3 linked regions of the Lepisosteus oculatus genome follow. The protein of the gene in region 3 purifies or fractionates together with the protein of the main gene of each other region. This does not show direct contact. Links are inferred from orthologs where the notes say so. Each region holds a gene or a part of one and is shown on either strand. Other genes may lie near its edges.

Region 1 (3,746 bases), on a different chromosome or scaffold from region 3:
CACTGACAGGACGGCTGTAGTTACCTGTATAGTTACTGCGCACTGACAGGACGACTGTGGTTTCCTGACTGTAGATACCGCGCACTGACAGGACGGCTGTGGTTACCTGTATAGTTACCGCGCACTGACAGGACGGCTGTAGTTACCTGACTGTAGATACCGCACACTGACAGGACGACTGTGGTTTCCTGACTGTAGATACCGCACACTGACAGGACGACTGTGGTTTCCTGACTGTAGATACCGCACACTGACAGGACGACTGTGGTTTCCTGACTGTAGATACCGCACACTGACAGGACGACTGTAGTTACCTGACTGTAGATACCGCACACTGACAGGACGACTGTGGTTTCCTGACTGTAGATACCGCGCACTGACAGGACGGCTGTGGTTACCTGTATAGTTACCGCGCACTGACAGGACGGCTGTAGTTACCTGACTGTAGATACCGCACACTGACAGGACGACTGTGGTTTCCTGACTGTAGATACCGCGCACCGACAGGACGGCTGTAGTTACCTGTATAGTTACCGCGCACTGACAGGCTTTTGTTATCTAAACAGCAGCAGGTCGTCTCGACGGTACTTGAAGTCTCCACATCAGGTCCCAGACTGATTCCAGCACCGGAACGCGTTTCCCCAGACTGACAAGGTCCGAACCCACTCCCAGACTGGGCTGTCTATGACCCCTGTCCTCCAGCCGAGAGCCGTGACAGCTCAGTCCCAGCTGCGGACTCCCGCAACCCCTGCGACGGACGCCGCTCGCCGCTGACCCCCGAAGATGACTGACAACAGCCCGGCGGGTCTCTTCCCCTGCCCTCGAACAAACCCCCGAAATATGAGATGCACACCGACACCCGCGGGAGCGGATCAATAAATAAAATCCGAAACATTCCCTCCCCCCTTCCGCCCCCCACCAGCTAAAGCCAAACAAGGCCTGTAAACAAACTCGGAGTGTCAAGCACAGCCCCGGGCTCGAGTGCGCACCGCTCACCGCAAAAGGCGCGCCTCCGCCCGGCCTGTCTCAATCAGAGCAAAGTCGGTGGGAACCGGGACTACTCACCGGCAGCTTGGGGTTCACCTCCCCCTTACAGCAGTGACAGAAGAAACGATGTTGGGGAACAGCCGCAGCCTCCGCCATCTTCCACTGGAATATGGCACAAACAGTGACGTCGGTCCTCCAGCTCACGGAAGGAGGCGGTCCGCCACCGGCCCTGAATGCCTCTTGCGGGACTAGACCGAGATTTCATCCCCCGAGAAGACCGATCACAACCGGAAAAAGCCGAAGGGTAAAGGCCGGAAGTGTGTGGGAAGGGAGGGACTAGATTCGCCATCTTTGTGCGGGGCAAGGCAATAGCGGAAGTAGATGGCGCACACGTGTCTTGTCGAGGGAAATGGGAACGATATAAACAAGGCAGAAAGAGTTATATGCTGGGCAAATGCCGGTTAAATAAAAGTCATTGTGCTTAAGTGGTTTTGGAAAGAACCCCTTCTTTGTAAAGCAGCAGGGTGAGTCTTGAGGAGTGGGATTCTGGAATCAGCGCTTTACATCTGTAGGCGCCAGCGGTTGCAGGTCTGTCCCGGCTGGGACGTGTTTCTGTGCAGATGACGGCGCAGGAGGTGCGGCTGTGCGCGCTGCTGCTGCAAGAGCACTTCGGCGAGGTGGTGGAGAAAGTGGGGACGTTCCTGCTGAAGGGGGGTGAGCAGACCCTGAGGGCCATCGCCACGGGGACCGGGACCCCCCTGCACCTGGTAACGCGCTCTCTGACCCTTTACCTGCCCCTGAGTCTCATGGTGTGTCCTGACTTCTCTGGTCCACTCCTCCCGCTCAACCCCTTTACCCTCTCCCATCCTCTCTCTCCCTCCTCTCCCCTCTCTCCTCTCAATTCAATTCAAGGTGCTTTATTAACGTGACCGATGGGTACAATCAGTTTTGCCAAAGCAAATAAAAATAAAATTAACATGGAACAAAACAAAAAATAAAATCTACAAAGAAATTATAAAATATGTACATATACTGTAAACATATTGAGCAGATCACATACTGGGCTGCCAGTTCAACTGAGTTCCCTCCTCCCTCTCCCAGTAGGATTGGGACCCGTTGTGATTCTGGCAGGTGTGGGAACTGTGGGACTAGATTTCTGTATTTCTGGAAGAATGTTTCTCTAATCCCAGAGTATCTGTCACAGTGCAGTAGGAAGTGCACCTCTGTCTCTATTTCTCCCCGCTGGCAGTGGGAGCACAGCCTGTCTTCCCTGGACAGCCAGGTCTGCCTGTGTCCAGGCTGTGGTCACTGAGCCTGTCCTCTCTGGACAGCCAGGTCTGCCTGTGTCCAGTGTCTCTGTCCAGGCTGTGGTCACTGAGCCTGTCCTCTCTGGACAGCCAGGTCTGCCTGTGTCCAGTGTCTCTGTCCAGGCTGTGGTCAGTGAGCCTGTCCTCTCTGGACAGCCAGGTCTGCCTGTGTCCAGTGTCTGTGTCCAGGCTGTGGTCACTGAGCCTGTCCTCTCTGGACAGCCAGGTCTGCCTGTGTCCAGTGTCTCTGTCCAGGCTGTGGTCAGTGAGCCTGTCCTCTCTGGACAGCCAGGTCTGCCTGTGTCCAGTGTCTGTGTCCAGGCTGTGGTCACTGAGCCTGTCCTCTCTGGACAGCCAGGTCTGCCTGTGTCCAGTGGTCTTGTCTTGGTCCGACATGGGGCTAGTGTGTTCCTCTCCCCCCCAGGTGAAGAAGTGCCTGTGTGTGCTGCTGCAGCAGGGCCTGTGTGAGTTCGGGCCGGGCCGGCGGGGGGTGGAGTACAGGCTGCCGGAGCCGCGCGTGTTGGGCCTGCTGCGCTTCCCTCGCTACATCTACACGGCCAAGACGCTGTATGGCGACGCAGCGGAGCTGCTGGTGGAGGAGCTGCTGCAGCACGGCCACATGACCATGAGCCAGGCCGTGCGGACAGTGGCTGACCGGCTGACCGACAGCATGGAGGGTGAGAGGAGGGCCTGTCTGTCTGTCAGCACCTCGAGGGTCAAAGAGTCTGCCTGCCTGTCTGTCTGTCAGCACCCCGAGTGACAAAGAGTCTGCCTGCCTGTCTGTCTGTCAGCACCCCGAGCGACAAAGAGCCTGTCTGCCTGCCTGTCTGTCAGCACCCCGAGCGTCAAAGAGCCTGTCTGCCTGCCTGTCTGTCAGCACCCCGAGCGTCAAAGAGCCTGTCTGCCTGCCTGTCTGTCAGCACCCCGAGCGTCAAAGAGCCTGTCTGCCTGTCTGCCTGTCTGCCTGTCTGCCTGTCTGCCTGTCTGCCTGTCTGCCTGTCTGCCTGTCTGCCAGCACTTCGAGGGTCAAAGAGTCTGCCTGTCTGTCTGTCAGCACCCTGAGCTCCCAATAGTTGTTCGGTCGATGCTGTAAGTTGGGGTGGCTGCGAATGTGGGGGTGTCCCTGACCCTCTGTGCGGCTGTGTGGTTACAGAGGGAAAGAGCATGGAGTACAGCGAGGTGACCAGCGTCTTCTCTCGCCTGGTGGAGACGCACTTCCTGCAGCGCTGCCCCCCAGTGGCAGAGCGCAGCGGCGACAGCGCGGCCTGCCCGGCCCCCACCCTGGCTGATGGCGACAAGGAGAGGTACACCCTGCCCCACATCACCCTGACAGGTAGCCCTGCGCCTGGGGCTGGGGGGGGGGGCAGGCTGGGCTGACCGGCCCCCCTGTCTGTCTGTCTGTCTGTCTGTGTGGGGCTGGGGGCTGGCTGGGCTGACCGGCCCCCCTGTCTG
Region 2 (3,746 bases), on a different chromosome or scaffold from region 3:
ACACACACACACACACACACACACACAGCAACACTGCCTCCACTCGCAAAAGCCAGCTTAGTCACAGGCACTCAAAACCACCTTGTTAACCCAGGGGATTGACTACAACCCTGTGAGCCCCTCTCTGTCTGCAGCCTGGAGACCACAGAGCCCGGCGCACAAGACTACACACGTGGCCACACGGACCTGGCTCCTCTGGGTCAGGACCGGGCCTTACGTGGAGTAGGTGTTGGAGTCCTCGGAGGTGGTGCCGTCCACGTTCAGGGCGATCTGCTCCCCTTTGCTGCGGCAGTAGTTGGGGCTGAGCGTGTCCATCGCCATCACCAGCTCCACCTGCGCAGGTGAGACACGGCCGTGACCGTCACCGACGACACAAACGACTCCCCGGTGCATCTCCCCGGGACTACCCGTCTGGCAACGGCTAGCTGCTACAAAACCAGTCTGACCACAGCTCACAGCCTTTATTCAGGAACCAGCCATTTAACAAGCTCAGATTCCTTCTTACCTTCTGCTGTTTGGGCTTGATTTTTGCAGATAAATGAGCAACGTCATCGTAGGTCATTGTAGCAGGGCGCACTGGATACTGATGGAAAATAAACGCAACAGTCAGGAAATGGATCACCTGCGGCCCACTCGCCTCTGCTGAATCAGCATGGCTGTCCCCCGAGCTCTGCGAACTAACACACAGAGAAAGCCCCTCCCTAGGCTTCAGCCTACTCACCCCTGCACGGCCAAGCCTGGAAACTCACAGCAGCTCCACTAGAGACACTGAAGCTAACTGAAAACCTCAACCAGTTAGACTTCCACAGCCCATGACACAACATTCTTAACTTGAAAACATCTGACAAGAAACACTGACTACTTGGTGAGTGTTCTGCAAACTAGGTCAAGTTAAAACAACGTTTACACGAGTGTGTCTAGTCTGTTAATCGAATGTAAGTGCTCATAACAGGCCGAGTTACTGCAGCTGGTTCGTTCCCATGGTCTTGCTTACCTGGAATAAGTAGAGCTTGTCAGCAAGGCTTTTGGCCAGATAAACATCAATCTGAGGAAACAAACAGGGCAGACTGGGCTGAAACCAGCAGGCACAGAGTAGACTCTGATCTTCAGTCACACAGCACAGGAACAATCACATCATGCACGCGTCACAAAACACTACACTTCTGATCTGTGTCCGGCATCCCTTCAAATCCTTATACCCGTCGTGATTTTCTTAATTTCAAAGCTTCGACTTGCACAGCACTTTAACTGGAAACTTCACCAGCTCTTGGGAGTATTAAAAGTGTGTGAAATTCTGGAAGGCACTGACAAAGCCGCCCCAGAGGACTACATCAGGGCCCGCAGCGATACAAGATCAACACAGGCACGAGTGGAAACAGAGGGGGTACCACAGGGCTCTTCTTCATGTGCTGTGGGGCCCTGGAAGAACGTTCCCAGTCATGCTGTTGAGCAGATTCCCTGGGATCATTCAGGGAAGTGAGGAAGAGGATCCTTGGAGAAATAAGCTACTAGCTCCAGCTGTTAGGAACACAAAAAGACTAGCAATGCACTAGCCAAGATGGGCTCTAGTCAGCAGCTCTCCTCTTGTTCTTATACCTAAAACTGCGTCACTCCGTCATCGCTGTGTCCAGGCTTGGGAGGGTTTCGCCCTGAGTCTGCGCTCGGTTACATTACACCCCAAACCTACAGGTGGAGACAGCTCCCTAATCCCACTGCATGGCTGGCCGGTGAGCTGTGGGGCGCCTACCTCTTGTACGATGGGGTCGTCATCCTCACTGGCCATGGCGAGGGCTGGGACTGGCAGCTGTGCTCTGGAGGGGTGGAGGGGCTGGCTCAGTGCCCACACCTGGGGAAGAGAGAGAGCCCGTCACTGCAGCACACAAACCACTGTCCCCCTGCACTGGAAGACAGCCTGCCGCCTGCGCCCGCAGTGAGACAGCCGAGGCAGGTGTTGTCTCACTGAGCACACCTTAGATTCTGGAACACACCTTGCTTTAGAACCGGGTTTGCTGGACAGGTCACATTCAGCACCCGGTCTTTTGCAAGACTGTTAATGCACATAATACCCACAACGCTGAGGTATCGCCCTCAACTTGAGACCCGCACACACCCGTTCACGAACGATTTTAGGGTGCCAAGCCAGATTCGCCAAGTCACAACACTCTGGACCACAGACAGCGCATGCCCAGTCGCGTCCTCCGACTCTGGGCTCTTAAACAAACATGATGCAACGGGTCGCAATTCACACCCAGACCGCTATCACAGCTAGCGAGCCCCGTACACAACAACACGCTCGGTGGCGAGTGATCCGTCTCCCCTGCCGTCCGTGTCACGTTCAGGCGTTTGTGAGACAGAAAGTTATCTCGGCCGCTCCAATATTTCGACAGCCGGGTCATTCAAGTTTCGTTACAGCCCGTGAGATGGCGCAGCGGGGGCAACGAGTTTCGCTCACAAGACCGAAACGTCTCCTCCCGAACGCCTCTTCTGTCGTGCCGCGGAAGAGATGAAACGCCTTTTATTATTTTTAAAAGGCCCACGATGGACAAAAAGTGCCACGGTTCTTCCCGTCCGTCGTTCGAACAGACCGGACCGTCCGGAGCTGGCCGCCTCACCTGCACGGACACAGACAGTCCCCCGGCGAGTGGTCTCCCTTCAGGCAGGCAGCTCACGGCGGGTGGCCCCTGTACCCCAGCCCGGTGTGTTTCCTCTGCGGCGGCTGCGAGTTCAGGCGGCTGCCATGTTGCAGCTTCCCAGACACGTGGGGAGGAGCTCAGGGTCCCTTCCCACAATGCCGTGAGACAGCGGCGGGGGGGGCACTGTCGTGCTCCGGACAGCAGAGGGCGCTCTCGCTGGCTCACATGCCGTCTGGAGCCAGCAGGAGGCGCTGCAGGCAGTAGCCGCGGAAAGCGCTTGGGCGGGCGCAGCGCAGGCAGGCGTAACAAAAAAAGCCTGTGCCTGGCAGCGGTGGGATTCGAACCCACGCCCCCGAAGAGACTGGAGCCTTAATCCAGCGCCTTAGACCGCTCGGCCACGCTACCTCTGCGGGCTCACCCCTCGGTATCGCAGTGAAGTCACAACCCTCTGCTCTGCTGCTCTGCAATTACAAAAATACTTTTTTTTTGTAAAGATGTGATGTTATAGCATTTCTACACCGTGGAAATGGGAGACGTGTTTCAATCGCTGTTGTTACATATGCGCTTGCAGGAAAAACGCAAGGATCTGCTTTCATAGCCGACTGTACACTGTATTTACGTTTTAATACGTACTGAAGGGGCAATTAGTTTTAGGAACGTAATTAGCTTGATGCGTTCAGTTTTCTTTAAAAAAAAGGATGATTACGCCGTAGAAGCGATGTCAGTTACGAAAAATGTGCCGGCTTTTCTTAAAATAAAATTAATCCGGTATTTATTTTACAATTATATGAAATAATTTTCACTGTGCATTTCATTGTTTAAAGAACATTTTTTTTTTTGCTGAATTCTGAATATGAGACTTTGCACCGCAGAGCGCCGCTGTTGTATTCATTTGATAACTTTGCATTAAATTAGTTTCTTTGTAAAATAAATTATGGTATTTCTGTTAAAGGGAAGTGTCAATCTAAGATATCACATTCAGTAACCGCAGAAAACTGTGTGGGCGGGGTACAGGCAGCCCCGCCCACTCAGAATAAGAGCTTCAGAACAAGTTTCCGTTTCCTGTTTAGAACTCTGACCAGACCCACAGTATACTCACTTTGCATCTGCAGT
Region 3 (3,746 bases):
CTCTTGTCATCTAAATCTCTGACACAGCAAACATCAAACATCATGTTAAATTCCTGGACACTAAATAGCAAGACAGATACCCACTAAGGAAAATAAAACAGGTTTTCTAATGAACCCCATGTGATTTTTGTTTACCCAGACACAAGAAAATTACTTTTTTCATCAAGCTGACCAGTAAAACAAATTGCGAGACCAGACTGAGGGCTGAAATCAGACTGTGCTGTAACCAAGGACAGAACAAGCCCAGTGTTGAAATCAGATAGCCAGATAGACTGGAAGTCATGAGCAGAAAGGTGAAGGATGAAATCCTGAACATCTTAGATATTTCCATGGACATCGAGACAGAATGTCTCCTAATGTCAGAATGTCTTCCTAAATATATAGCATTTTGGCCTAAGACGTAGTTTATCTTATAAAAATGCAGAACAGTTGATCTGTATTACAGTTCATAGTTTAAGATCACTTTACTGGCCATATACAATTTCTTGTATTAGGAATTTGTCTTTTTGCATACCCCAGCTTGCTCTCCAAGAGACACAAAAGCACACAGACAGGAAGAGAGAAGGTGGGGGTCAGAGCGCAGGGTCAGCCATTTATACGGCACCCCTGGAACAGTTGAGGTTAAGGGCCTTGCTCAGGGGCCCAATGCAGTAGGATTCCTCTGCTGGCCGCGGGATACGAACCGGCAACCTTCCAGTCACAGGCGCAGATCCTGAGCCACAGAGCCACCGCTCCGCCTCTTATAATTGAACAAACTATGGTAAAGTAGCTTCACTTGTGTTAAAGACTGTTCAGTTCCCAACTGACCAACTGAACGAGGACTCACAACACATTGGGTGACATTAACACATGCTCAGTATCTATTCTCCACTGATATTTGTTTGCCCAGCAGAGTGTAAATACACATACTCACTTCAAATACCACATGGGATCAGCATCACTTGTAATCTTTTCATTGGCTTTCATGATTTTCTTTATCTGGAAACAGCAATCGCCAAGTTAATCTCAAACACAAGTGCCACAAAACAAAAACAAAAACAAAAAACAGGGCATAAGAGCATGTATGCATGCAATGTCTTACCTCTACATTAATAAAATAATTGAATGAGTCAATATGCTGTTTCACCAGTCCTTTCACCTAAAAAAAGAAGAGAAAGAAAATTAAGATACACAGGGGAGGATATTTAGAATTCTTAGTCGACAATGGAACAACAGAACTGGAAAATAAGGCACAACAGGCACATTTCAAAAGGATCACATACTGTCACCCTGGTGCTGATGCCTTCTGAAAGTCGACATACGAGTTAGCAGCCTTTGCTGTATAACATCATGTGAACTGGCAACAAGACTTCATACACTAGGAAAGCAGTGGAGTTTAGTATATATGAGGGTGACTGAAGGAAATGTATACCCTTACTCTTACACACCATACTAATAAGAAGGTCTTGGATACCAGAAGTCCTGACCTCCCACCTCCATTTCTCAAACAGACCACTTAGCCAGCTTCAAACGAGCAGCTCTTTAACATTCTGTCTCAACAACAGTGCACCTCAGCTCTTGCAGCTGGGGTTAATGTCCAGAATGTCAGATTCCAAAAATGTGTCCAAATGGGTCCAAAAAAAAGAGTCAGAATTGTTGCTATTAAAAAGTTAATAGCAATAAATATTATATTGGCCTGGTTGGTAGATTTGGTGTCCCGCGGTACAACTACACCTGTTTAATTTTTTCATCAGTAACACAAGTTGCCAATAGAGAATTCACAATACCTTTAGAAAGGCCGGTAGTAACTTCCATTTCTCCTAAAAGGGAAAGTACAAAATATTAAAGCTGTCCCACTAGATCACAGCATTAGAAAGTAAAATGACAGCACACAATGACCTACTGCGTCTTGCATATTGTATATAGCAGATTTGCCCCTTTTATAAAGAGATTATCAGAAGACAGAGAAAGACAAAATTCGACATGTAATCTTTTGAGAACAGTAACAGTATAATTTAATCATACACTGCAGTGTAAAGCGTCTGAACGTTGACTACAAACAAGATTGTACCTGAACTGCCTATACTGTACAATGTAACAGAAGGAGTTAAACAAGTTCCAATGCACAGCATTACAACCGAATGAACGTTTTTTTCCAAACAACACTATATTCTTGATCAGCTTAGTTCACACGATCAAATTCTGAATGGCTTGCATTTTCATACAAATCACCCACTTAATACATTTTAAAAACCTCTAGCCCTTACAAAGGAGGCACCAGATTATTAAAAAACAATCTATAATCAAAACATTTTCCCTGACGTTTGCTTCCTTGTTACGCTAACACAGTTTTCTTTACAGACGAATACATGGTTTAAGCAAATTGTATGCACATTGCAACACAGTAATTACTAATATGCATCACTTATATTTCAACTGCTGCGATACTTATTCCCTACCTCTATGGTATTAACGGGGGCTGCGAGTTCTTGGGGAGTCATGCCCCCATACTCATCAATGAGGGCATCCATAATTTTCTCACACTCAAAACAAACAGCCAGACTTCATGAAACAAGAATCACATTTCCAATCCGGCGACATCGGCAAGCGGAAGAACAAACCCACACGTGCATGCGATGTCCCAAATAAATGGCAACGTGTGGAAACAAAGAGGTGGACCGTGGTTCTGCTCCCACATTCCGTTCTGATATGTTCCGAAAATAAACGAAAATTAATTTAACCTCTGCACCCTTCACTTTTCCTACAGAATTCAGAAATTGAAATTTAAACACTTATCACTTTATAAGCCGCGTTATTTTTCTTGTATATTCGAAAACAATTCGAGAAGTCAGAAAGAAGTATGAGTGTTGTACAATTTCCAAACCACTCCCTCGTTTGTAACCTTTAATCGTGCCCCATACGTTTTGATTATTTGTCAGTACAATAAATAGCATTTTAAATTTACTTCACAACATTTAATTAAAAAAACTCATGTGTACAAAGCAATCTCATGTTTGAGCTCAATCACCGTGGGTCTTAACTGGCAATTCGAGTGGATGAAATGGACTTGGGTGGCGTGGTGGTGCAGTAGTTAGCATTGCTGCAGTGTGAAAGCCCGGGTTTCGACTGTGGACCTGGGCTACTGTATCTGTGCAGATGTTGTATGTTGCCCCATGTTTGTGTGGGTTTCCCCCCACAGTCCAAAGACTACTGGTACAGTAGGTTAATTGGCTTCTGTAAAAAAAAAACTGGGCCTGGTGAGGCTCCAGCTCTCCTGTGACCCTGTGCTGGATAAAGTGGTTTAGAAAACAGATGGATGGAAATCTACTTTTTCAGGTTACAAAGAATAAAACTTCACCAAATACATTTTTAAATCACGTTTTTCACATTTCTTAAACAAGCCATACAGTGACAAAATCAATATGTCATTTTTATTTTTCAGTGCATTGTTTCTCTCTCTCTCTCTCTCAGGATGAACCAAAACCTTAAAGAACTGGCCACTAGGCTTAAGAACAGCTTCTACTTGTAGAAAGATATAAGATGTGAAAAAAGGGTTAACTGATTTCCTTCTGCACAGACTTCTTTTGGTACAAGACCAAAGGAAAGACAAGAATGGCCATTCAAAGTGCTCAAGGTCCAAACACAGGTGACCTCCCCCCATTACCATGGTAACAATTTGTGTCAGAAATGGCTGAAGTTTGTTATATCAACTGGAGCTTTACAACAATTCTCTGAACAATTCTTTGATCGTATTGTCCCTTGCATGC

Evidence for each region. Proteins that work in one complex are often made in the same cells at the same time.
Region 1: the proteins of polr3b (region 3) and polr3c fractionate together in Homo sapiens (co-fractionation; 4 studies listed by BioGRID and IntAct, with this or other methods). This does not show direct contact. The link is inferred for Lepisosteus oculatus from reciprocal best matches to the Homo sapiens genes POLR3B and POLR3C.
Region 2: the proteins of polr3b (region 3) and polr3e purify together in Homo sapiens (affinity purification with mass spectrometry; 8 studies listed by BioGRID and IntAct, counting the BioPlex papers as one, with this or other methods). This does not show direct contact. The link is inferred for Lepisosteus oculatus from reciprocal best matches to the Homo sapiens genes POLR3B and POLR3E.

Annotation. Positions count from the first base shown.
Region 1 is NC_090722.1:7,226,189-7,229,934, reverse strand, and holds the start of polr3c (DNA-directed RNA polymerase III subunit RPC3), read left to right. Parts: upstream 1-1,156; coding exon 1,157-1,291; intron 1,292-1,559; coding exon 1,560-1,754; intron 1,755-2,718; coding exon 2,719-2,971; intron 2,972-3,447; coding exon 3,448-3,627; intron 3,628-3,746. Other genes in the region: rnf115a (E3 ubiquitin-protein ligase RNF115), read right to left, coding at 1,066-1,143. UniProt on the Homo sapiens protein: DNA-dependent RNA polymerase catalyzes the transcription of DNA into RNA using the four ribonucleoside triphosphates as substrates.
Region 2 is NC_090714.1:16,621,831-16,625,576, reverse strand, and holds the start of polr3e (DNA-directed RNA polymerase III subunit RPC5), read right to left. Parts: upstream 2,796-3,746; 5' UTR 2,613-2,795; intron 1,847-2,612; 5' UTR 1,784-1,846; coding exon 1,748-1,783; intron 1,048-1,747; exon of another isoform or gene 1,046-1,047; coding exon 995-1,045; intron 584-994; coding exon 506-583; intron 334-505; coding exon 218-333; intron 1-217. UniProt on the Homo sapiens protein: DNA-dependent RNA polymerase catalyzes the transcription of DNA into RNA using the four ribonucleoside triphosphates as substrates.
Region 3 is NC_090702.1:53,629,084-53,632,829, forward strand, and holds the start of polr3b (DNA-directed RNA polymerase III subunit RPC2), read right to left. Parts: upstream 2,612-3,746; 5' UTR 2,511-2,611; coding exon 2,439-2,510; intron 1,800-2,438; coding exon 1,767-1,799; intron 1,139-1,766; coding exon 1,082-1,138; intron 979-1,081; coding exon 914-978; intron 1-913. UniProt on the Homo sapiens protein: Catalytic core component of RNA polymerase III (Pol III), a DNA-dependent RNA polymerase which synthesizes small non-coding RNAs using the four ribonucleoside triphosphates as substrates.